4 linked regions of the Mus musculus genome follow. The protein of the gene in region 2 binds, or shares a complex with, the protein of the main gene of each other region. Links are inferred from orthologs where the notes say so. Each region holds a gene or a part of one and is shown on either strand. Other genes may lie near its edges.

Evidence for each region.
Region 1: Ints7 (region 2) and Ints9 share a complex: the UniProt entries of both Homo sapiens proteins name them as parts of the integrator complex. The link is inferred for Mus musculus from reciprocal best matches to the Homo sapiens genes INTS7 and INTS9.
Region 3: Ints7 (region 2) and Ints12 share a complex: the UniProt entries of both Homo sapiens proteins name them as parts of the integrator complex. The link is inferred for Mus musculus from reciprocal best matches to the Homo sapiens genes INTS7 and INTS12.
Region 4: the proteins of Ints7 (region 2) and Ints1 are in contact, whole or in part, in a cryo-EM structure (PDB 8RC4), measured with the Homo sapiens proteins. The link is inferred for Mus musculus from reciprocal best matches to the Homo sapiens genes INTS7 and INTS1. Residues at the interface, in NP_056249.1 of Homo sapiens: His150, Asp151, Leu187, Ala188, Thr189, Pro190, Val191, Lys194, Thr223, Ser224, Tyr225, Pro226, Ser227, Thr228, Asn262, Asp263, Pro264, Arg265, Lys266, Pro303, Tyr304, Gln349, Glu350, Cys352, Tyr353, His354, Asn355, Arg357, Ala360, Gln384; in NP_001073922.2 of Homo sapiens: Leu1378, Gln1381, Gln1382, Gly1385, Gln1386, Ala1389, His1429, Phe1430, Leu1431, Cys1433, Pro1434, Arg1437, Gln1438, Cys1440, Gln1441, Pro1476, Ala1479, Gln1480, Met1483, Leu1484, Gln1487, Arg1552, Pro1554, His1555, Leu1556, Glu1557, Glu1558, Pro1613, Ser1614, Gly1616.

Annotation. Positions count from the first base shown.
Region 1 is NC_000080.6:65,019,096-65,024,725, reverse strand, and holds part of Ints9 (integrator complex subunit 9), read right to left. Parts: intron 4,411-5,630; coding exon 4,230-4,410; intron 1-4,229. UniProt on the Homo sapiens protein: Component of the integrator complex, a multiprotein complex that terminates RNA polymerase II (Pol II) transcription in the promoter-proximal region of genes.
Region 2 is NC_000067.6:191,573,610-191,579,802, forward strand, and holds the start of Ints7 (integrator complex subunit 7), read left to right. Parts: upstream 1-2,026; 5' UTR 2,027-2,248; coding exon 2,249-2,342; intron 2,343-6,193. Other genes in the region: Dtl (denticleless protein homolog), read right to left, coding at 1,740-1,791. UniProt on the Homo sapiens protein: Component of the integrator complex, a multiprotein complex that terminates RNA polymerase II (Pol II) transcription in the promoter-proximal region of genes.
Region 3 is NC_000069.6:133,103,427-133,109,056, forward strand, and holds part of Ints12 (integrator complex subunit 12), read left to right. Parts: intron 1-3,512; coding exon 3,513-3,659; intron 3,660-5,408; coding exon 5,409-5,630. UniProt on the Homo sapiens protein: Component of the integrator complex, a multiprotein complex that terminates RNA polymerase II (Pol II) transcription in the promoter-proximal region of genes.
Region 4 is NC_000071.6:139,768,174-139,773,803, forward strand, and holds part of Ints1 (integrator complex subunit 1), read right to left. Parts: intron 4,622-5,630; coding exon 4,425-4,621; intron 4,321-4,424; coding exon 4,183-4,320; intron 4,004-4,182; coding exon 3,844-4,003; intron 3,749-3,843; coding exon 3,643-3,748; intron 3,557-3,642; coding exon 3,364-3,556; intron 3,263-3,363; coding exon 3,117-3,262; intron 3,019-3,116; coding exon 2,877-3,018; intron 2,067-2,876; coding exon 1,890-2,066; intron 1,235-1,889; coding exon 1,126-1,234; intron 812-1,125; coding exon 691-811; intron 324-690; coding exon 246-323; intron 1-245. UniProt on the Homo sapiens protein: Component of the integrator complex, a multiprotein complex that terminates RNA polymerase II (Pol II) transcription in the promoter-proximal region of genes.

The sequences.
Region 1 (5,630 bases), on a different chromosome or scaffold from region 2:
GGAGGGAGAAATCTGAGAGCTTAGTACTGTACCCTGAACAGTAGAGGGCAATGCAGAAGGGACCACAGGACCACTTGCAGATTAGTGACCCGCAAGTGACAGGAAAGTGCTTTCTGCTAAGAGATATGTCCTCCCCTCAGTTCTAGAATCTTCACGTAGGCACAACAGATAGGGACCTCCACCTTGCTGAGACTGCAGCTGCTGGAGTTCAGCTCTGTGAGTCTGTAATACCCGTCACCCCTCCCCCAAGATGCTGTGCCCCCCAAAGCTACAGCTACTGCAGTCCTGCACTCCTGAGGGCACTATGGCTCAGGAAGAGGCTCTGGGAATTTCCCTCTCCCCTAAAAAGAAAACAAACCCAACAAGCAAGCAAACAAAAGTGTCCTTATCTGGAGTTGGGGCTGATACTGGTAGAGCAGGGAGCAGGGGGCTTTTGCAGACTACAGCAGATGCCCCTGAGATCAGGAAGCACAGAGTAGTTTTGAGCAGACACAAGTAAGCAGCTGGGCCTGAGGGTGCTCCCCCCGGAACACTCTTCTAAGCAAGAAAGGGGGGAGGCAGGGAGCTGGAATGGAGTGATGTTGGTCCTGGCTTGGGGTTAGCAGGCCTAACTTGGCTCCACCACAATCCCTTGCTGAGTTACTCCACTCTAGAGCTAGCACTTGTTCAATTAAGCAACCGAATTCCTGTTAGGCAGCAAGTGCTTTGCAGGCCGCTGTACAAAGGGGGCTAGCAAAGCAAAGCAGGGAGTCTAAAGCCAGTGGGGACTCTGACCCTGACTGGGCTCCAGGTCACACTGGAATGGCCTTAATGACGCTTTCACACTTTCAGTCCCTTGCTGCTTTCAGACAGTGTCCAGCTGCCTAGAGGACTCCCGGTGTAGCTGAGGAGAATGGCAGTTGGCTAGGAGGAGGGCAGCGACTAACAGCGGGAGAGCTTAGAAAAGGAGGAAGACTTTTACTCTAGTTCTCTCCTTGGTAAACCATGATCGCTAAGTCTCTCTGAGGGAAGATCATACGTCCCCATCTTTCTCCTCTTTACACCCTTCCTTCTCCCTCTTCCCTAATGTTCCCCATGCCCTCTTGAGGAGCTGCCGCTGACACTGCTCCTCTCCTAGGCAGCCACACTCATTCTGTGGGTGCCAAGGACATTCCAAGCTGTGGTGCCTGCCTGGCTGCCCGGTCTCTGCATGGACACTGCAGCATGGGCTCACACACCACTTTCTTCTGCTTCTTTCTTCCTTCTTCCTTCCTTCCTTCCTTCCTTCCTTCCTTCCTTCCTTCCTTCCTTCCTTCCTTTCTTTCTTTCTTTCTTTCTTTCTTTCTTTCTTTCTTTCTTTCTTCCTCCTTCCTTCTTCTTTCTCCCTCCTCTCCTCCTCCTCCTTTTTTTTTTTTTTTTTTTTTTTCCAAGACAGGGTTTCTCTGTATATCCCTGGCTGTCCTGGAACTCATTCTGTAGACCAGGCTGGCCTAAAAATCAGAAATCCACCTGCCTCTGCCTCCCAAGTGCTGGGATTAAATGAGTGCGCCACCACTGCCCGGCTAACACCACTTCTTTGAAGCAGGGTTTCATGTTGCTGAGGCTGGCTTCAACTCACTATGTAGCTGAGGCTAGCTCTGAACTCTGGATTTTCCTTCCCTCAGGGTTCTAACTGCTGAGATTGCAAGCATACACTGCTACCCCTGCTCTCTTATTACTTCTTAGTTCTTGTTCTCTTTTCTGAAGATTTGCTTATTTTCATTTTATGTGTATGTGTGCTCAGCTTGCATGTCTGTCTGTGTAGCACATGTGCAGTGCACAGCCTGCAGAGGCTGAAGAGGGCCTACCATCCCTTGGGACTGGAGTTACAGACAACTGTGACCTGCCATGCAGGTCCTGGGAACTGAATCTGGGTCCTCTGGAGCAGTACTCAGAGCTCCTCCACTCCCTTTTTTAGTTTTGATAAATGTGTTTGCCCTGAGCGATGCTAACATTGGGGTAAAGTAGGTGAAAGGTGTCCGGGAACTCTATTGTCATTATGGTTTTCCGTAAATCTAAAATTATTCTAAGGTACAAAGTTTATTACTTAAACTGAAAGAAATCCAAGATAAAATTAAAAAAAAAGTATCAAACTGGGAAAAATGGCTAAAGTATGTTAACAAAAAGTTAATATCTTTAATATATACACAGAGTTCAAATATGTAATAGAGATATAAAACCTTTAAGAGGTAAATGGGCAAAAAAGGAATAATTTACATAAAAATATTTTGGCAAGTAGTATTAGATAATGAACATTAAAAATATTCCTACCCTTTATTCCAGTAATTCCACTTTTAGTAACTTACCTAAGGCAAATGCTATCATCATATATAGACAGAATAGTTTCAATTTAAGATTTATTCTTAAAAGGAAAAGCCCTGCCAGCCAATGAGAAGGTAATAAGCTAAGTATATAGATGTGAGTGATGTGAGGAGACAATACTGCAGCCACGTGCGCTGGCCGTGTGCTCATTGTATGCTGTGTGCTCCCTGTATGTTCACTGTGTGTTCACTGTGTGCTTACTGTATGCTCACTGTGTGCTCACTGTATGCTGTATGCTCACTGTATGCTCACTGTATGTTTACTGTGTGCTCACTGTGAGCTCAATGTGTGCTCACTGTGTGCTCAATGTGTGTTCACTGTATGCTCACTGTGTGCTCACTGTATGCTCACTGTGTGCTCACTGTGTGCTGTGTGCTCACTGTATGCTCACTGTGTGTTCACTGTGTGCTCACTGTATGTTTACTGTGTGCTCACTGTGAGCTCAATGTGTGCTCACTGTGTGCTCACTGTATGCTCACTGTGTGCTCACTGTATGCTCACTGTGTGTTCACTGTGTGCTCACTGTGAGCTTACTGTGTGCTCAGTACGTGCTGACTGTGTGCTCATTTTTTTCTTTCAAAGAAAGAAGAGACAAGGTATGGGCTGTAGCAGTCTGGCCTTGAACCTGTTCTCCTCCTGCCTCAGCTTCCCAAGTGCTGGGAAAACAAACATTTGCTGCTCTTCACAAGGTTTCATAATGGTTTAGTGTTATTGAATGTTTTCTGCTACATAAGCACTGCACTACTGAGCTGCAACCCCTTTAGGAAAACAAAATCAGAATTTAAAATTAAGAAGTGAAACTTGACAAGGTGATATCTAAAAAAATGTTAACTACTCAACATGATTTCTAGGTCAGATGGGGTTTATTTGGACAGTGGTGTTGTGGGCTCCAGGTCTCTATTATTTTCTATAACTTGTTTTTCTACATAACATGGCTTGCCCACTTATGAACTAACACACACCTGCAAAACAAACTCACAGAAAGACCCTGCAGGACTCCAATCCCTGTGCTGGGTGACGACCATTCTTGTAGGCACAGGCCTGATATGGTGGGGCACTGTCTACTCAGCCCACAGGGCGTGACCCAGGAGTGTGCTGCAGTATTTTTATTGGGGGTCTGAATGAAAACAAGTTTCTAACATGTTAACTTCATCTGCAAATGCTGCTTGGGGTCTCCTATGTGGGGAAGACACTTGTGTGTAAGGATAAAAACGAGTGAGAAGTAAAGACAAGGAGCAGTCCTATTGACCAAAGGGAGCAGAGTCAACTCAGGGAGACGCCCACAATTCAATGGGAAGGAAAAACCCACACACCAAAACCAGGAGAGGGGTGAGGGGCATAACACTGGGATATGTTATAACATGGTAATGTAAAAATTCCATTTTCAGGGAGGAACTTAGTAACTGCTGTGTGTCCATTTGGTCACCATACTACTAAAACTGATTGGACATATTCTATTCTGTGTCACATGGCTCTTAAGAATTTAGAAATTACATCTACCTCCACTTCCCTCTTTTGACCAGGGGAGTTAGACTCAAACTCTTCGAACATGGTCAAAGCTTAGTAACCTATGTCTAAGTGTCTGCTCTAGGAGTTGGTCAGCTTCTTGGTATAATAAAATGGATCTTTGATAAACTGGCTATGGAAATAAAGATCTAGCTTTTCTTATCAGATGTAGGTAATTACAACAGTATGAGCTTGGGGCTTTCTTATCCTTTCTTCGTACCTATGCTTCTAAATGCTAGCAATGTATGGGATTTGACTTTCAGTAGTTCACACACATGCACATGCATGAAGTCTTAAGTACTCTTAAGAAATCACAGTTATTTTCATTTTTACTGACTGAACATACTTAAGCAGAACTCAGAGAAAGGATACTACTGACTTACCACTCAGCAAAAATCTGGGAAAACTCGAGTGAACTGTTGGCAACGGGGGAGATGAAGTAGAAAGGGATGTTGGAGAGGCCAGCGGAGTCAATGTATTGATATAAGCACTCCAGGAGGTCATAGATCACGCCTGAAGGATAGCAAGGGACCAACACGTTTCCTCCATTCCGAACTGTCAGAGCTGGAAAAGTTGAGGAGAGAGAAGATGGTACCAAAAGAACAATGTTAGAAAGGACAAATACAACCTTTAAAATGACAATTACATTATTTCTCTTCTCCTGTGTATGATATGATTTATTTTTGAGACAGGGTCTTGCTATGTAGCTTTTGTAAGGTCAAGCTCAACCTGAGCTATGGGATGACTTCTGGCAGTTACATAAAGTTAGTATTTCTCAGAAACTTGTGAAACCACTCCCCATCAACCAAAAGGAGGCATTTCCCTGGCTCTGGCAGAAGGATTAAACAGCTACCCCTGGCTCCAGGTTGCTTCAGTATCCTAAGTATCCACTACACATTTCAAAATCCATGGGTGGTGCACTGCAGTGCTTCTCACTTCCTCCCCCTACTCTAAACATCCTCCAGTCAGACTTCCGTTTTGTGCCACCAGATTCATGTGTTTGAGTGCTTGGCCCATAAGAAGTGGTACTATTTAGGAGGCATGGCCTTGTTGGAAGAAGTTTGCTACTGTGGGGGTGAGCTTTTAAGGTCTTATATGCTCAGGCTTTGCCCAGTATGGAACAGTCTTTCCTTGCTGCCTGCAGATCAAAATGTAGAATTCTCAACTCTGTCTCTAGCACCATGTCTGCCTGCATGATGCCATGCTTCCCACCATGATAATGATAATGGACTGACTGAACCTCTGAAACTGTAAGCCAGTCCTAACTACTCAATCTCTTTATAACCCTACTATTCTGTGTTCTCTACCTCAACACTTCCACACACAAAACCTTTCTAACCTCAGCCTGTTCTTATGACCCCCACACTTTATAACTGTCTAATCTTTTGTAGAGAAGTGTACATTGGGCAATGCAAGATTGAAGGCTGATGTTCTCATCACTGTCTAACTGAATCCCCTGGTAGGTTTTAATGTCTCCAGTGAACCTGAGCTTTAGGCAACTCCTTCTCTCTAAATCCTATTTCAAATTTTCAGGATGTTTCTACTCAGTCTCTGACTGTGGCTGAGTGATTCAGAAGAAACAATCTGTTCCCTTTTAAGTCCTTTTCATCACACTTTCTGGCACTAGTATTTGTCTGTAAGAAACGATCTATTATCTGAAACACAGCCAGTTATGGAATGTGGAAATAATCACATTATGGGCTGTAATGTGTTAAAAGCATGAATGGCTGAAAAACTGTAAAGTCAAGTTGGCTTTTGCTTCATTTACAGAACAACGGAGGTAG
Region 2 (6,193 bases):
CTCACCTTTTCAAAAACAGAGACCACGACTTCCACGTTGGTATAGTTGTTTATAGTGTCAGATGTATTTAAAAGGCTAAAATAGTATTTATCTTAAGATGCTAACTCACTATAAGGCTAAAAATTATAATTTTGCATGTTTAAAGTTTATAGTAAAAATTCTTAGATATGGATTTAAAAACTCACAAAAGTAATTATATTTCCATCTTACAAATATCGGTAGAGAAAGGAAACTAAAGGCACATTTAGAGGCTTGTTATGATCAGGGAGTAAAGTATCAGGCCCAATGGTGGGGATGGAATAGAGAAAATGGAAGACTCAGTTTGAGGTAAAGAGGCTGAATCTGTGGGGATGGAAAAAGAGATTCAAGCAGACTTAAGGGATTTCTTTTTTTTCTTTTGAAAATGTCATAATGAGGAATATGGAGTCTAAGTTTTAGCTGGGGACACCAGTTTAAAATAATGTCACTCCCAAAAATTGGGAAGAAGCCAACTCAGTTTGGGGCATTAGAATATAAGATGCTTGTATGCCTAACTGTCTAGATTAAGTTCAATACATACAGCTTTTACAGAAATTAACCCAAAACATAGGGAATGGAAGAGTGTAGCAGCAGTAGAATCCTTACTTACGGCTATAATCATTTAAGGCCCAGCAACACCGGAGGGGAAAAGAGATGCAGACTTCAGGAGGTAACAATCAATGAATGCCAGTGCCTATCACTGAACGTCTGTCTGGCTATCTGTAAGCCGGAACGACAGACTGAAAAGTGGGTAGACAGAAAATGTAGCACATAGGAAAAGAGGTGGAGTTGAAACTCAGACGCTCCGAAGACCGCTCACAACCATTGTGCAGGGCGGCCATTCCTAACACAGGGCGAAGTAACTTTTGTAAAGTTCGAGCAGAGAAAGAGGCAGAATGTAACTACAAGAGTATCCACAGAGGGAATACGACTACAAAGTTTTAGATCCGGGCAGGACCTCAAGGAGCTTTTCCTCTTCTCAACATTCTTAGGACCACTCTTCAAGGTCTTAGTTTAACAACACATCAGCCTAATCGCATCTCAGATTGCCAATGTTTTTAAGAGTACTGTAGGAGATGAGCTGGCTTTCTATATGCTAACAGGAGAACATGGCTGAATTCCACCGTGAAGAGAAAAACGAGTTTAATCCCATTTCTGGAAGTACCTCGGCATCAAGACACATTTGGAACAATACCCTTCCATCCATTACCCGTGGTCACCTCGTGGGTGTGGCTATGGGCATCTTTTAGTCTGTATTTTAGGACTTTTCAGAGCCTGCAGAGATGGGGGAGGGGACTTTGGCGCCTTAAGATTGAGTTCCTTAACTGCGGGCCATGCGCGCTGGTGCACAACGAACTTGCAGGGATCGCTAAGGTTCTGCAGAGACGGCAGGCACATCGCTGGTGCCAAAGCGTCTCCCACCCCCGACTCTCACAAGCGTGCACTCTCTAGTTAACGCGCGATATTGACGTAAGCAGCCAGGGGCCCGGGACGCCACTGAGCGTCCTAACTTCGGCCTCCGTTCCGAACTAAAAAGCTCGATTACGGTGAAAAGCGTCCGGAAGGAACCCAAGCACGATGTTCTTCGGCGGTCCTCGCTCGCCCGGATTCGCTCCGGCCGCGGGAGACCTGGAGGCCCACAGTCGGCAGCGATCCAAGGTGGAGCGCCTGGGGGGAGGTGGTTCCCGCCACGGCCAGCGGCCGTTGGGGCCGTTACTCACCGTTCCTCAGGACGCCGAGCTGCGGCTGGCGGAGTACCGAGTTGAAGAGCATCTGGGCCTGAGGAGAAGGCTCAGCTGAGGGGAACGCCGAGAAGATCGCCCCCAAGTTCCACAGGAGCCGCCGTCTGCACCCTCCACAACGCGGCGCGGTTTCGCCTCCAACTCCCGCCACTAAGAGCCCCGGCCGCCAAACTCCGCGCCAAACTGACGTCACGCTTTCTGATTGGCTCTCGTCGCAGCGTCCTGGCGCCTCGAAGGCTCGCCCCCATCCTAAGCTCCGCCTCCCTCTCGCTCAGCCGCGGGAACCCAAGGTTCACAGGCTCCCTGAGCGCCTGCGCGGGGGGGCCCAGAGAGGAACTGGCGAACCGCGGGGCGACCGAGGCGCATGCGTACACTGCCTGACAGCGCGCGGAGGGAAAAATCCGCGAGACCGCGGCGGGAGAAGATGGCGGTGCTGGGGTAGAGTTTGCAATCTTTGTGACTGGGCGAGTCGGGTAACTGTCCGGGTCATGGCGTCAAACTCAACCAAGTCGTTCCTGGCCGATGCCGGCTATGGCGAACAGGAGCTGGACGCTAATTCCGCTCTTATGGAACTGGACAAAGGTACGGAGGAGGGACGCGGGCGAAGCGTCTGGGGGGAGTGGCGCCACCTAGTGGCGGCAGCTACAGAGGCTAGAAAGGCGCATGCGCCGATGTATGGGGCGGGAAGCACGGCTGCTAGTCTTGGAGCCAGCGCTTAGGCGCATGCAGGGTTGCTGGAGTAGCCTTGCACAGTTGGAGCAGAGGCTCGTGCTTGCGAGGATGCCTTTGACCACTTGGGGGCACAGTCTCTGGTTTCCCAGGCAGCAAATAAGATAAAGTGCTGAATTTTGAGATTATTTTTTAAAACGTTCAGTGCAGGTGAAGCCTTCATTAAGAGAGCCAAATGATTTTCTGAGCGTTTTACAGCGATTTGTCTTGCGAGACTGTCAATTGCGCGTTCTAAAGCAGGTTCCATGTGGATGAGAACATCCGAAAAGCTTGGCTGAACGCGCTCATTCTCTGCACACAAGTTCCACGAGTTAGTTCCCCTTATACAGGTAGCTAAGAGAAAAAATTTTAGGGTTAGGAGTTAAATTCCAGTTCTACTAAAGTGATTATGGAATGCGGCATTATCATCTAGCCTCGATATGTCAGCAAAGTGGGCACAGTATGTCAGCTGTTGTAAATGTTAAATGGCAGTGGTATGCGAAAAGATGCCTTTATTAAAGGCTGAAGAGGGACTTTGACAGATAGCTATCCATAAAGAAGTCCTGTGTAAATGTGAGACCTTTGCTTCAGTTTCCTGCCAAGGTTTTTACACTATAGGCAATTCTTGGTTAACTGTAGCCAGTGTGTAACCTGTAGAGAACGGGACTGGAAACCAAGGATCTGTAAGTTCAAGTCTGGGGGGCAGGGTGTGCCAAGTAGGGACTGGGGGATGCTGAGAGAACCTGGAGGTCAATTAGACTTTGGCATGTTAAATATGCACCTTAGTTCCTTGTCCAAGTTTGAAACCAGTTACAGGTAAGAGTTTTTTACGTTTTACTAAAGTCTGTGACATCCAGGTTGGCCTGTACTCCCTAAAGCCAAGGATAACTCTCAACTTTTGATCCTCAGCCTCCCAAGTCCTAGACCTGATGTGGCCCATTACACTGTTTTATTCAGTGCCAACTCCCTTCCCACCGAAATGTGTATGGCTCTAGCGTAGCTAATCTTGTCCCAGGCTAAGAGTAGATAGTGTTGTAGAGCAGGGTAAGGATATGGAGCAAGGAAAGGAAGGACATCCAGAGTTACCTTCTAAGTGTTGTGAGCCAGTGTGATGGTTTACTGTGTGAAACACTTCCTGTGCAAGCCTGACAGTCACACACATGTGCACACATACATACAATAACAATGAAATAAGGTTTACATTAAAAAAAAAAAAAAGATGCTGCGGCTGTAGGGATGACTTAGCCTTTAAGAGGCCACACTGCTGTTTTGTGGGACCAGAGTTCAGTTCTCAGCACTCACACCCCAAACCTCACAACTGCCTGTAACTCTAGAGGGTCTGTTATACACCCATCTCTCCCTCCCCCTACATACACATAATTAAAAGTGAAGCTCTTTGAAAGAAAAGGTTACAGTTGTAATGAAAGTAATAGTACAACCTTTTTAATAAGAAGAGTTGAAATTAAAACACATATGTGTAAGAAATAAGTGGGGGCTGTTGAGTGTTTTACAGATAAGCCCTAAGCTCAACAAGACACATTGTATCAGCCGGGAACAGTAGTGTGACACATTGCTAAAGGCTGAGTCCCACATATTACTCTAATAAGTGTAGCTTTTCCTAATGTAGATTATTATCATCAGACCAAGTATTTGCCCCTCCAGTGATTGGAAGTTGTCCAGATGAAAACAGGCAAGATCCCCTTCCTGCAGAGAGAAAGGTTTAGTGACATCACTCAACCTGATGGCTCTGTGCACACCTGGCTTTGAGAGGATGGGTGGGAGTGGGGAAGGTGACTCATTCCCTTTCTTGCTGCACATGAGTGGAAGCTGGTGAACCTAATGCTGTAGGAAAAGCCTGATCGTGGAGTGCTGATTCAACTCTTGAGAACTGGGTGAGAGTCAGGACAGAATCCACACACTAGGATTTCCTAGCGTTGTTACCATCCACCCAGTTCCACCATCTTAATTCTCCCTGTGAAGACCACTGTTGTACTGCCCATGTGTGCAGGAATGTAACTGGTGTTAGGGAGTGAGGACTCAGCACAGCCCCTCTGAGAGAATGAATGGCCTTAGCCACTGGGTTGGGTGTGCACTAGGCGGCTGACGCCATGTCATTACTGGTGGTTTTAAGAGTAGTAGAAACATGGCCCTATGGATTCAGACTTTTTTTTCCTGAGGATATTTATTACCAGACTACATTTAGTCTGACAGCATTGGTAAGTGAACCTTTAAGGTTATATAGAATCTAGATTCAGCAACTAGTTTACCACATTGAAGCTGAATTAGGGAGCATGGACTCTGCAGTTTGGTTGGTGACCCTGATGGACAAGGTCAGATAAACTAAACAGAAATCCACTTATTGAAACCATGGCCTTACTTTTATGTATGACTGTGAGCTGTTGTCTTATGATTTACAATGGGAATTATTAAATAGTCTCATTTCTTATTGTTTTAAACTAGTATTTTCTCATGTGCAGTCTGCATTATATGTCAGCATGTTTATTAGCAGTGATTTCTGAAGTTTTGTGGGAGGATACTTAGTAATTATGTCAGAAATTGCCATTTCTGCCTTCCAAATGTGAAGTGACCTTTATTAACTGTTTATTAAGCTGTGGGTTGTGGGTTGCCTTCTGTCTTAGTCAGGGTTTCTATTCCTGCACAAACATCATGACCAAGAAGCAAATTGGGGAGGAAAGGGTTTATTTAGCTTACACTTCCATACTGCTGTTCATCACCAAGGAAGTCAAGACTGGAACTCAAGCAGGTCAGGAAGCAGGAGCTCATGCAGAGGCCATGGAGGGATGTTCTTTACTGGCTTGCTTCCCCTGGCTTGCTCAGCCTGCTCTCTTATAGAACCAAGACTACCAGCCCAGAGATGGTCCCACCCACAAGGGGCCTTTCCCCCTTGATCACTAATTGAGAAAATGCCTTACAGTTGGATCTCATGGAGGCACTTCCCCTGAAGCTCCTTTCTCTGTGATAACTCCAGCTGTGTCAAGTTGACACAAAACTAGCCAGTACACCTTCTATTGTGTAGTTATACTTACTCTATTTCTTTGTGGTGCTGAGGCTTGAACAAAGGGTCTCATTCCCGGTGTTCTGTTGCTTTGCAATTGAGCTGTATTCTAACCCTGTGTGGTGATACTTGGAAATTTTTTTTAGTCCTGTTACAACCAAGCACCATTAAAAAATGAATATATGAGATGTATACATGTTAGAGATTCAATTTTGAGCCATGTTCATCTGAGGTAAAGAAAATATGCAGCCATTGTCTAAGACACCCTTTCCTGGTAATGCTTTGTTAGTGGTGCTTTAGTGGATATTGGTTGCATCTGTGGTTACTTAGTGTCTCGAATGTCTACCTGAGGAGTAGCCCTTAGGAGCCCCTTCTCATGAAGGTGGAGGCAAAAAGTTCCCTAGCTTGTCTTTCGAGAGCAGCTCCGAGTTACCAGATCCTGCCAGTAAGACACATGCTTTGATTAGCAGCAGGAGATGAAGAGCTAGCTCAGGGGTGCTCACAGTTCCTGTGGCGGCACAGTGTCAGCTGCATAGGCCCTAAATGACAGGGCTCACTGTAGCATCTCGTTTCTTAGTAACAGTAGTTGCTCTCATCTAATTAGTTTGGCAGTGTGGTGTTAGGTGTTCTTAGAAGTTTAGCAGGTTTAAATGCCAGGTGTGGTGACGTATCCTGTAACCACAGAGCCTGGGAGGCAGACATGTAGTCA
Region 3 (5,630 bases), on a different chromosome or scaffold from region 2:
TTAAAAATTAGATATTTTCTTTATTTACATTTCAAATGTTATCCCCTTTCCTGGTTTCCCGTCCGGAAACTCCCACTTCCTGGCCCTGACATTCCCCTGTACTGGAGCATAGAGCCTTCACGGGACCAAATGGTGCTGCCTCAACTGGTGGTTTGCATGTAGAAGAATGCGAGTTGATCCATTCTTACCTCCTTATACATTTTTTTTTTTTTTTTTAGTTTCCTATTGAAATTAGCTCTTCAAAACTACAACCAAAATTATTTCAGATGAGCAGTTGTTATGACACACTTTTCCTCAGTCCATGGAGCACACATACATGCACATAACCAGCACACACATGCTTGAACTCACAAGGACTATTCACTCTAGAAATGGAGTCCACAGCAAACCAAAGTAGTCATTGTACCAATGTCCAATTGGTGACCAAATGAGGGTTTTTATTGGGGTTACTAAGAGGAACATTGGTGAGGTCACGGTGAGGGCTGATGCAAGCAGCTCCATCCCCAGAAATAGCACAGCAACACGGTGATGTCTCCTGGAGCTTGCCACACAGCTTGAAGGCTGTTGCACAGTCAGTCCAAACATGTCTGTGCAGTTTGAGTGCTCAGTCATCCCTAGCAACTGTTAACTTGTTTTCATACTGCAGGGGTGGGCTCTAGAGTTCCTGTTCTCCCCAGCACGTGACCACTTGTTTACCTCCTGAGGCTCATGAGTCTCCCCTTCTTCCTGCAAATTTGGAGGGAATGTTGCAGTTCAAAAGCGTGTGCCACACAACAGCAGTATGATACATTCCAGAGCAGGACAACCACAAAAAATGAATAATTTTTAAAAGAAATAACTTGTGAAAGACCTAAGTTTCCAAAATATTTAAATTATTATTTCTCCATCACTTTTTATTAACCAAAGTTAAAAGCTAAATTTCCTCAAGGTTTTCTTCTCTTATTTTTTAAGTTAGCTTACATCAACCTATGTACATGATTTTAATCTCTTTATATGTGGCCTTCTATAACTGACTCCATACTGATCCTTTAAATGTCATATCCTTAAGTTAAAGTGATTTTCTTTAGACCTCCCCTCAGTTGCCTGAGCTAGATGTTATGCTTGAAATCTTTCATAGTTCTTCATAGCTTTGTTTGCTAAACTTAACTGTGTCCACGTCCTATATGCCTCCCTCTGCTCACGTCAGTCTTACCACTCTGTTCTGCAAGCCTCTTATGACTTAGCTCTGCAGTAGCCCGTAAGAGGTCTCTTCATTTCCCTTCCAGCTGTTTTGCCACTATATTGTGTAGATTTATTCATCTAGATGAGTGACTTCACTTGATCTGTTTATGTTTCCCAGTGGCCTTCAGTTACTTCCAAAGCAAAGTTGTAACACACACACACACAGACACACACACACACACACACACACACAGACACACACACACACACACACACACACACACACACACACGGCTTCCTTTCCAGTTCTGATTTTCCAATGTAGATCAGGCCCTCTTGCTTAGGGATGGTGCTGCCCACCCTGGACTGGGCCCTCCCATATCAATCATTAATCAAGACAGGCTCTCATAGACATTAGCACAGGCTGTTCTGATCTGGGAATTCTCAGTTGAGGTTCCCTGTTCCCAAGTGACTGCAGGTTGTGTCAAATTGACAATAACCAGCACAGCAATTATGTTTCACTTTTATATTATTGAGGTACAGGCGGTCAAAGCCAGGTCCTTGCATATGCTAGGTAACAGTAATTATATCGTCAGCACCTAACATTATGAGCTCCTAGCTTAAGCTCTTACATAACTACAATCCGTCCTCATAAACACACAGGTGAAGGGAGGGAGGCATGTGTGTTGCACCTGAGGTAACAGCTGGGGAGGAATGAGCAGGGGTCAGCCCTGGGTCTCTTTGATACTAAACACTGTTTCAGTCTTTCTCTGTACTGCTACATAGCTAGGGCTGTCCTGCAGTAAACACTCAGAATCTGAAAGAGGATCCACGTTTATAGGGAGACTTGGGTAGTATTCATTTTGTCATAAAATAAAGTCAGTTATTGGTCAAAATAAAAATGCTTAGGAGGAATAAATAAAATTCTTACTGAATAACATGGAAATTATATTTATAAACTTTTCAAAGGATTTGATTCACCTGTATGAAAAAACCTCCAAAATGTGTTATTATTCATGAATAATTCTTCCCTTTGAATTCAGTGTTTAAAACCATGTAAATTACCAGAGTTGTTTTTAACTCATCTTCAGTAACTTAAAAACTTACAACTGAACCTCAAGAAGAAACTACTTCAGTCTTTGGCTAACCATAAAAAGAAATGACGTGCACTATTTAAGGAGTGATGCTAATTCCATGATTGTCTCCCACTTTCTGTGAACTCAGCATCTATGTATTCCACCTACTCTGCATTGAAAATATTTGTTGGTAGAATAAGGGCATTAAAGCATCAGTACAAAGCAAGGACAGGCTGGTTTCCCTGCTATTATTTCAATATTCAATATTTCAATGCATGGCATTTAGATTTAGAAACCTAGAGATGAGTTACTGTCTACAGAGGTCTTCTATAAATGTAGTATTTTCCCCCTAGTGCTGTAGCTGGAACTCCAGGGCCTTACATGCTAAGTATGCTTTACAGCTGAGCTGTATCCCCCAAGCTTTCAGAGTACTTTGTTTGAGGGTGGAGGCTGTGAGAGTCACACACAAACAGAGAGAGAAAGAGACTGGGACCGAGACAGAGCCAGAGAGAATGAGTTTGTTGGAGCTGGTTCTATCCCTCCACCTTTACATGGGTTTCAGGGATTACACTCGGGACTCCAGGGTTGTATGGAAGCTTCTTTACTCAGTGAGCCCCGGCCTTAGTGGGTTTTGTTTCTTTTGTTTGTTTACTTGTTTTACTTGTTTTTTGTCTGTATTTGTATCCCTAGCTGTTTTGGAACTCACTAGGTAGACCAGGCTGACCTGGAATTGACAGAGATTCAGGTTCTTCTACCTCCCATAAGTCTTTAAGACAAGGCCTTAATGTAGAAATCAGGCAGGCCTTCGTACTCCTTTTAGAGCCCAGGCTGCCCCTATGCTCCTAGTCTTCTTGCTTCCGCCTCCTGAGTACTTAGAGACAGATGGCACTAGGCCCAGATACTAGGCTGATTATCTGAGGGACTTAATTGAACATCCACAGATTTTGGTTTTTGTCAGGGGTTCCGAAACCCATCCTGCATGGGTAACAAAGAGTAGCTGTACCATAGTTTGGGATTTTCCTTTATTGAAAACAGGAGGGTTATCTTGTTAAAATAATATTTAACAAACCCTAATTTGCATGATTGATGGTATCATTACTCTTCAGAAACTAATGAAATCTGTAAAACTATATGTTGATTTCTTTTGATATTTCAATATCATCACAATATTTTTAGAACTATTGTTAACGTTCAATGTTTATAGTTTTTAATGCATTTTTAATTTTGTTATTTAATAAAAATTTTTATGTATAATTATCCACCTGTTTTTCATAGGCTCAGAAAACTCAGAAGCCACCACAGAAACCAGCGCCCACTGTTGTTTCTGTGACTCCAACTGTCAAGGATCCATTAGTCAAGAAGCCAGAAACCAAACTTAAACAAGAGACAACCTTCCTAGCATTCAAGAGAACCGAAGTTAAGGTAAAGTGTTTGTTTTCATCCGCGTTAAACCTCAGTGTGGCTGACTGAAGGGTAGGCTCTCATAAAACTTTGATGAGAAACTTTATTATGTGTCTGATGTTGGAAGTGAAGAACACTAATAATTAATTAGATAGGAGGGGAGCATTTATATCAGAATTTACTTTCTACACTGAAGTGTGAGGTGGTGCTAGGTTCCCAAGGTTGTAGTGCTTCATGTCTGTGCATCCTGGTTGTGCTCTACACCATCTGTCACTGTGGAGCAGCCCAGGCCACAGCGGTCATTAGAGTCAGGTGCTCAGCACAGCCACCTTGCTTTCCTGTCCATCCTTCATTGACCACTGGTCTCTTAGTCACTTTAAATAAGTTCTCTTTGGTGGAGCAGATAGTTTCATGTCTTATAGAAGGGAAAGGAGAAAAATGGATTTTTCAAACTGAAAATTAAGTTTGCCACACTGTGTTCTTTGCTTTCATTTTCTGTCACCAGCAGTGTGTGTCCCAGGAATTTATGTTTTGTAAGATGTTTTTCCTAATCAGGATATCATGAGATAATTATATAATGCTATTATAAAAATGTGGCTTTTCAGGACATGTGAACAAAAGTTTCAACTTTTCGTATCAATAAAAACCCCAAAGCACTCTTATTTTGATTGCTTTTTCTGGTGCTTAAAAGTAGTCATATACAGGCTATGTTGAAGGCAACTTTGTAAGAGCTAAAGAAGTCTTGCCTACTATTTCATAAGAGCTCAATTCTAAAATACAAATAGATATTCTAGATACTACATCACTATTTTTATACTTTATGTATTTTTCTCTTTAAATACAGACAGTCCTATATCTGACTTCCCCTTTGAATGCTTTTGTGAGCTTGTCTCAGTGTGAAGAAGGTAGACAGACTGTGAGTGGACAGAAGTCACCCTATATGCTTACAACAGCAATCAGCAATGCTTAGGGCCTCTTGTCTGTCTGTGTAGGAAGTTGATCAGAGAAGCCGAAATGTTAGAGTTGACACGTGAGCCAGGAGTGTGTCAAACCTCCCCAAAATGCCTGTGCCACCCAAGAGGCAGATGCAAAGTCTACTATGTGAAAGTTGGGGTCTATTACTATAGTTTCAATGGAAACACACTGCAAAACTGCTTTTATGAGTTCTTTTTAATGTATCCTCAGTTTACACATCTGAGGATATTTTATAGTAGAATAGATGTTGAAATTTTTGTGGCAACTTGATTATTTTAAGTGAGTGTAGAACTTCTATATAGACATTTCCTTTAACACATCTATCAATGATTGAATCTTTGTCTTAGGTATTTTCTCCTGAGTGTCTTGTGTGTAAACAGTTTTTTTTGGTTTGGTTGTTTTTTTTTAAATTAAAGTAGATTGGATTTAAAAGTGTCATGAGCTAGGTGAAACTTTGGGTGGTAAGAAAAGTGACTTGAAGAACTAAATCTGATTCTCTTCTGTCGTTTGTGACTGAATCTTAGGGCAGTTCCCAAAAAGAATTTCATGTATTTTCTCTGGAGTCATTAAAACAGTGTGGCATTCAGGAACTGCAAGTTGTGTAGCAGTCTCCCTGACTACAGAAACGCCCATGTGTTTCCCAATTCAGCTTCATAAGAACCTAATTTTGTTTTGTTGTCCATATTGTCCATGCATTACTTCTTTATATACAAGTAAGCATTTATATTCAAAGACATACAGGTGTTGATTATATTTGGCTCTAATGTAAGACTTATATTTTTTATTTTTTTTTAGCCATCCACGGTTATTTCAGGAAATTCTTCTAGTAACAACGTGTCCTCTTCAGTAACTAGTGGCCTAACTGGATGGGCAGCTTTTGCAGCCAAAACTTCTTCAGCTGGTCCATCAACAGCAAAATTGAATTCAGCAGCACAAAACAGTAGTGGAAAACCTGCTGCCTCATCCTCTAACCAGAAGCCTGTGGGTTTGACTGGTCTGGCAACATCATCCAAAGGT
Region 4 (5,630 bases), on a different chromosome or scaffold from region 2:
GGCCATGTCTCAGAACACACAGGTAACCAGTGGGTTGGAAGGGACAGGGTCAGTCCAGGAAGGACAGAGTGGGAGCGGAGAGGAGTTCCCTGGGGGTGTGTCCAGGGAAGGGGCAGGAGTGTGAGGCAGACACCACTGCAGGAGAAGAACAGTACTGGGTTTTCAGGGTGGGGCTACCCGCCCAGCATCTGCTATGCATGTGCCCACAGGCTGCACTCTGGCTGCCTGCCCACCCCAACCCTCACTTGCGGTCGCTCTCGGGTGGCCAGTTGTCCCACTTGTAGTAGGTCTCGGGCTGCTCGGTGAAGAGCACCTTGTGGAGGCTGCAGGGACAGAGCAGGTGTCAGTCAGGATGCAGCTGTGCAAGGAGTCTTCACCCTAGCAGCGCTGCACAGGGACCATTTGGGCAAAAGCTACTGATGGAAAAGTACTGGGGCTTCCCCCCCCCCCCCGACTCCTGAGCCACCTGCCCACAGTGGCCACTAGTGACCAAGAGAGGGGTCGGTTGGGCCTCTGTGAGGAGAGGTGGCTCACGTGTGGCTCTCAGGCTCAGGACCCTTCCTTCTGTCATCAACCGGTGTTGGGGCTCTAAAGGCATGCGGACAATGATTGCCTTGGAGGTGATGGCTCCCACCTGAAGTGTACCCACACAGGTGACACAGCGAGGCTGAGAGACGGTCTGCCTCTTACCAATGCACATAATCCTTGGGGGCGAGTTTGCTGACGGAGGGGACGACAGTGTGAAGCCACCACACCGCATCCCGCTGGATAGCCGCAATCTGGTTCTGGAACGTCCGGAGCACCTCGAGGTCTAGGGAGTGAACAGGCTCCTGATGCCCCGCAGCCGTGGACTCCAGCAGGCTGAGCCACTCTGGAGACCACCCCTGCTCCCACCCAACAACCAACAGGATGCCTGAGTGAGTGAACACGCTCCAAGCACAGATGACCCTCTCAACCAGACGGCAGGAGGGGACCGCTGCTTCTAGAAAACCCACCTCCTCCGGCAGCCATGCCGGGACCCCCACTCACACCCCCACCCTGCCCTCGGTTTCCAGGGACGTGCAATTACTCGAGGCCTGGTTTTACGTCCACGGCTGACAGTGCCCCCAGCCAGCAGGGCCTTACTTCTCTTCTCTCCTTTGTCCCAGGCGACTCCAGCCTCCTTCACCTGGGCTGTAATGCCCAGCATCATGGACACAGCTAGCACATCCGTGATGTGAACCACAAACCGCTCCTGTGGGCATATGGGTGGCAAGGCTGGCGTGACTGAGGGCCCTTCCCAAAGGTCCCATGTGGCATAGGGACGCGTGCATGTGTATGCACAACAGACACACAAACTACTTAAGAGTTTGCCCCCACATCTAGAGACCACCATGCTGGGAGAAGAGCTGACAGAAGCAGGCCTCTGGGTCCAGGATGAGCCAGGTCCTGATTAGGCTACTGGGAGGGGACTCAGCCAACAGAGAAAATCCTGTCCCCAATGGCAGGCTGTCACAACAGAGGACTGCCATCCTGCTCCAGTGCCTTAGAGGTCCTCAGCCTTCCTGCCTCATTCTGCTCAGCGAAACTCCCTCCCATCTCTTGCTCTGCACCCCGAGTCAATCAGACCCTTTACTGGGGTGCTCTGTCCATCTCCCCAAGTTAATCCTCAGTCCTGCCAGCTGCAGTGTCCACACCCATGCTGGGGTCACCAGCTCCCTAGCTTGGTCAGCCCCGCCCCGTCCTTACGAGGGATGGAGCAACACTGAGTGGCTTCACACTTGGGTGTGTGGACCACCGAGCCCATGGCTGCACACAAGCCTGGCACGTTGGCCATCCCTATGACAAGGCAAGCCTCTCAGTGTCAGGAAACGGCAGCGTGGGAGGTGGTGAGCAGGGTCGCAAGGCACCTTAAATTCCATCTCCAGGTACTGCGGCTCCTTGCGCTCCTGCATGAGCCCCAGGCAGAAGGCTTGGAAGTTGATCTCGTGCTTGGTCTGCTTGATGATCTCCCGCAGCAGGGCCCTAGAGGCGCGGAGGTAGTCATCCTTGTTGGTCAGCAGGTCCTGGAACACCATGGCTAGGAACTGAGGAGGAGGGAAGCCACAGGGAGCTGGGGTCAATGGCCATCCAGGTGCATGCTTATGCCATACCCCACCCCCCCAACACCTTGCCAGGACCTCACTCGGGACCTGCAGAAAGCCTTCCCCAGGAGAAGAGTCCTCCCAAATACTAAGCAGCTAACGCGGTAGGATTGGGCAAGGTCCCGCAGCACATCTTGGGAGCACATCCCGAGAGGAGGGGGCCGTCTCCCCTTCATGGATGTGAACTCTTAGGACGGAGGCCGTGTTGTATCTCACCTCCCTGACAGTTGGCGGGAGGGGAGCCAGTCCTCTTCTGACCAGGGTAAAGGTTAACTGGCAAGCTCAGGAATGGAGATGCCGGCAATGACACTGCCAGATACCTCGGCCCACTCTACCCCACCCACCTGGGCTACCTCCTGGGTCTGCAACTACCCAGCTCTCTTAAAACACGGAGCTGAGAGGGCAACCGCTGGGTGTGGCCAGAAGCTAACGCAGAGCCTAATGTAACAGCCCGGCTCCTTGTTAAGGACAGGAGTGTTTCTTGGGTATGGAGAGATGCCAGACCTGGTATCCACAAGCCAGGACCCCAGGCCAGGGCTGGAGGGCTGTGGAGATGCCAGCTTGGCTTAGAAAAACCCCAACTAAGGAGGCTACACCATGCTGGAGCTGGGGAAGTCGGACATGCTGCACAGTGTTAGCTCACAAGGATGGTTCAGAAACCAGAAGCCAATGGACCTTCCCGCCCAGAGCCACGAGTTTCTCCCTGTGAGGCTCACGCAAGCCCAGGGGCCTGTCCCTCACTGAGTACCCCACCTTGGGTGCCAGCTCAGAGCTGTGCTGCAGCACTGTGTACAGGATCTGCATGTTGTTGGGGTTTCGAGCATTCGAGAGCTCATTGAAGATCACAAACTTGATAGTGGTACCCAGGTTGTCCTTGTGCGCGTTCAGCAGTTCCCTGGACACCAAGAGGCAAGCCGGTGAGGGGGACGGGACAGGCTGCCCCGGCTGCCCACCGGCCTGCCTCACTGCCTGACGCCCCGGCTGACCGCGTACCTGATGCAGAGCATATAGTGGTTGAGGAGCACCTTGGGCTTGAGGCGGATCTTGATCAGGTGAGAGATGACATCCATGTCTTCTGACCCATGGGAGTTGCAGTTCATGCACACAGACATCAACAGGTCCTGCGCTGGCCTGGTCAACTGCGGGGAAGCCAGGAAGACCACTGAGCACGCAAGCACAACCGCCCGGAACCCCCAAGGAGAACCCCCCCAACACAAACTCTTTCACCAACACAGCGTACCTTGGGGTTCTGCAGCCACATCTCCAGCCGCTGCACAGCCAGCAACCGTACCTCCTTGTAGCCACAGGTGGCCGTGAGCAGCCGCAGGAGGTTCCTGGACACGTTGTCGATGGGCTGGCGCCGGTTCAGCTGGTCACGCAGCATGTCCAGGACATATTCTTCCACGCTCTCTGTGAGTTCATCGTACCTAGGCCAGAGGGGGGGAAGGAGGCCAGGAAGGATGCCAGCTCCCGTGCCCTCCCTCTGGCCCTCTGAGACTGAAGCTGTCGGCCCACCTACCTTGGCATGAGCTGCCCCTCCTGCTCAGGACTCAGTTTCTCCTCGGCAATCAGCAGCTCCGTCTGACTGTCCTCCTCCTCTGTGAGTGAGGGGTGGGGGCTGCTGCCTGCAGGGACCACGGGAGCTAATGGGTGCCTCCTCCCAGGGAAGTGGAGGATGGTGCCCTTGGCCCAACCTCACAGACACCTCGGCATCTCTTACCTGCACCAAGCTCACCACCACTGCGTGCCCCCTCCCCCTGCAGCAGGACGCTCTTTGGGGGCATCTTGGTGTTGAAGGCTGTCTGGATGTTGTCCACGAAGGTGCGGCAGTGAGGGCTGTCTACCCAGATCCGCTCGCCCAGCGAGTCTTCAATGTATACCTACGGTGAATCAGGTTTGGACCCTGCCTGAGGCTGGATGGGTCCCCAGAGTGGGCATGCAAGAGGCCTTCATCAAAGCCCTTAAAGGAAGGACAGCTCACTGGGAGCCTCCATTCGCGTCCCTCTCCAGCACCCACCTTCCCTCTGCGCTCTGCTCTGAGACCCTGGAGAGGACTCACCTTCACGAAGATCTCAGGCCAGTTCTCGTCCTCCTCGTACGCGGCCATGAGAAGGTTGCAGGCCAGTACAGACACGAGGCTGTTCCCTTTGGCCTTGAAGTTGACAGAGGCGTCCCTCCGCAAGAGGCTGCACAGGGCCTGAAAGGAAAGGAAAGTTACAGTTGTCACGATACGGCCCATGCCACAGAGACAGCGGCAGGTCTAGGGAGGGCGGAGTGAACAGGGGAGGTGGTCAGTTTCACCTCGATGACACCCTCTGTGGCAAAGATGTTGGGCTTGATCTTGGCCAGGTACATGAGGCTCAGGTAGAGCGTGCTGTCAGGCTTGGCCCGCGTCACCTTCAGCTGCTTCACTGCCCCGCACAGCACTCCCTCGATCCTGTCGTCATTGCCCTCCAGCTCAGCGGCTTCAATCTCGTCCAGCAGCACTGTGGGCAGAACTGACCACACAGGGGGTGGGGTGGGGGGAGGCTGGGTTAGAGAGGGATGAGAGCAGAGGCCACGCTCAGAGCAGACAACTAGAGGCAACACAGATGGGCCTCACCAGCACACGGAGGCTCTGAGCTCCCAGAAACCATACACCAGAGTCTGTGTCGTTTTCCTCAACAAATGGCTTCAGAAATGCTGGCAAGTGCTCAAGGAGGGAATCTAGACAGCCGGTCAACCACTGAGCCACGCCCCCAGCCCCTCACTGGGGGATTCTAGGCAGGGGCTCTACCACTGAGCCACACCCCCAGCCCCTCACTGGGGAAGTCTAGGCAGGAGCTCTACCACTGAGCCACGCCCCCAGCCCCTCACTGGGGGAGTCTAGGGAGGGGCTCTACCACTGAGCCACGCCCCCAGCCCCTCACTGAGGGATTCTAGGCAGGAGCTCTACCACTGAGCCACGCCCCCAGCCCCTCACTGGGGGAGTCTAGGCAGGGGCTCTACCACTGAGCCACACCCCAGCCCCTCACTGGGGGATTCTAGGCAGGGGCTCTACCACTGAATTATATCCATATCCCTCAATTTACTTTTTTACTGTCATACAGGGTCAAGTTAAGAAGTGGCCAAGGCTCACCTTGAACTTTTCATCTGCCTGCCTCAGTCTCCTAAGCAGCTGAGGTAACAGGCACCCTCTGAGCCTTTCAAATGACATCTCAGTACCAAGGGACAACGTAGCTTCATGAGATACAGCTTCATTAAAGGCTAGAGGACAGGATGCTTGTCCTTTTTGGCTCTCAGGAAGGAGTCCCTTAGAAAGGCTCGGAGCAGACACGCAGACAGTGGCGTCTGCTACTGGAATGTTAGGTGCTCAGAGGCTGGCACATAGCTAGCGGGTGACAGGTCTATGCTAAGGCATCATGGAGCTGCTATGAGTCACTGAGGGGCTCTGGGCTGTAGAGTTCAGTGGTTACAACACTTGCCTTGTGTGCATCTGGACCTAGGCTCAATCCTGGCACTGTCAAA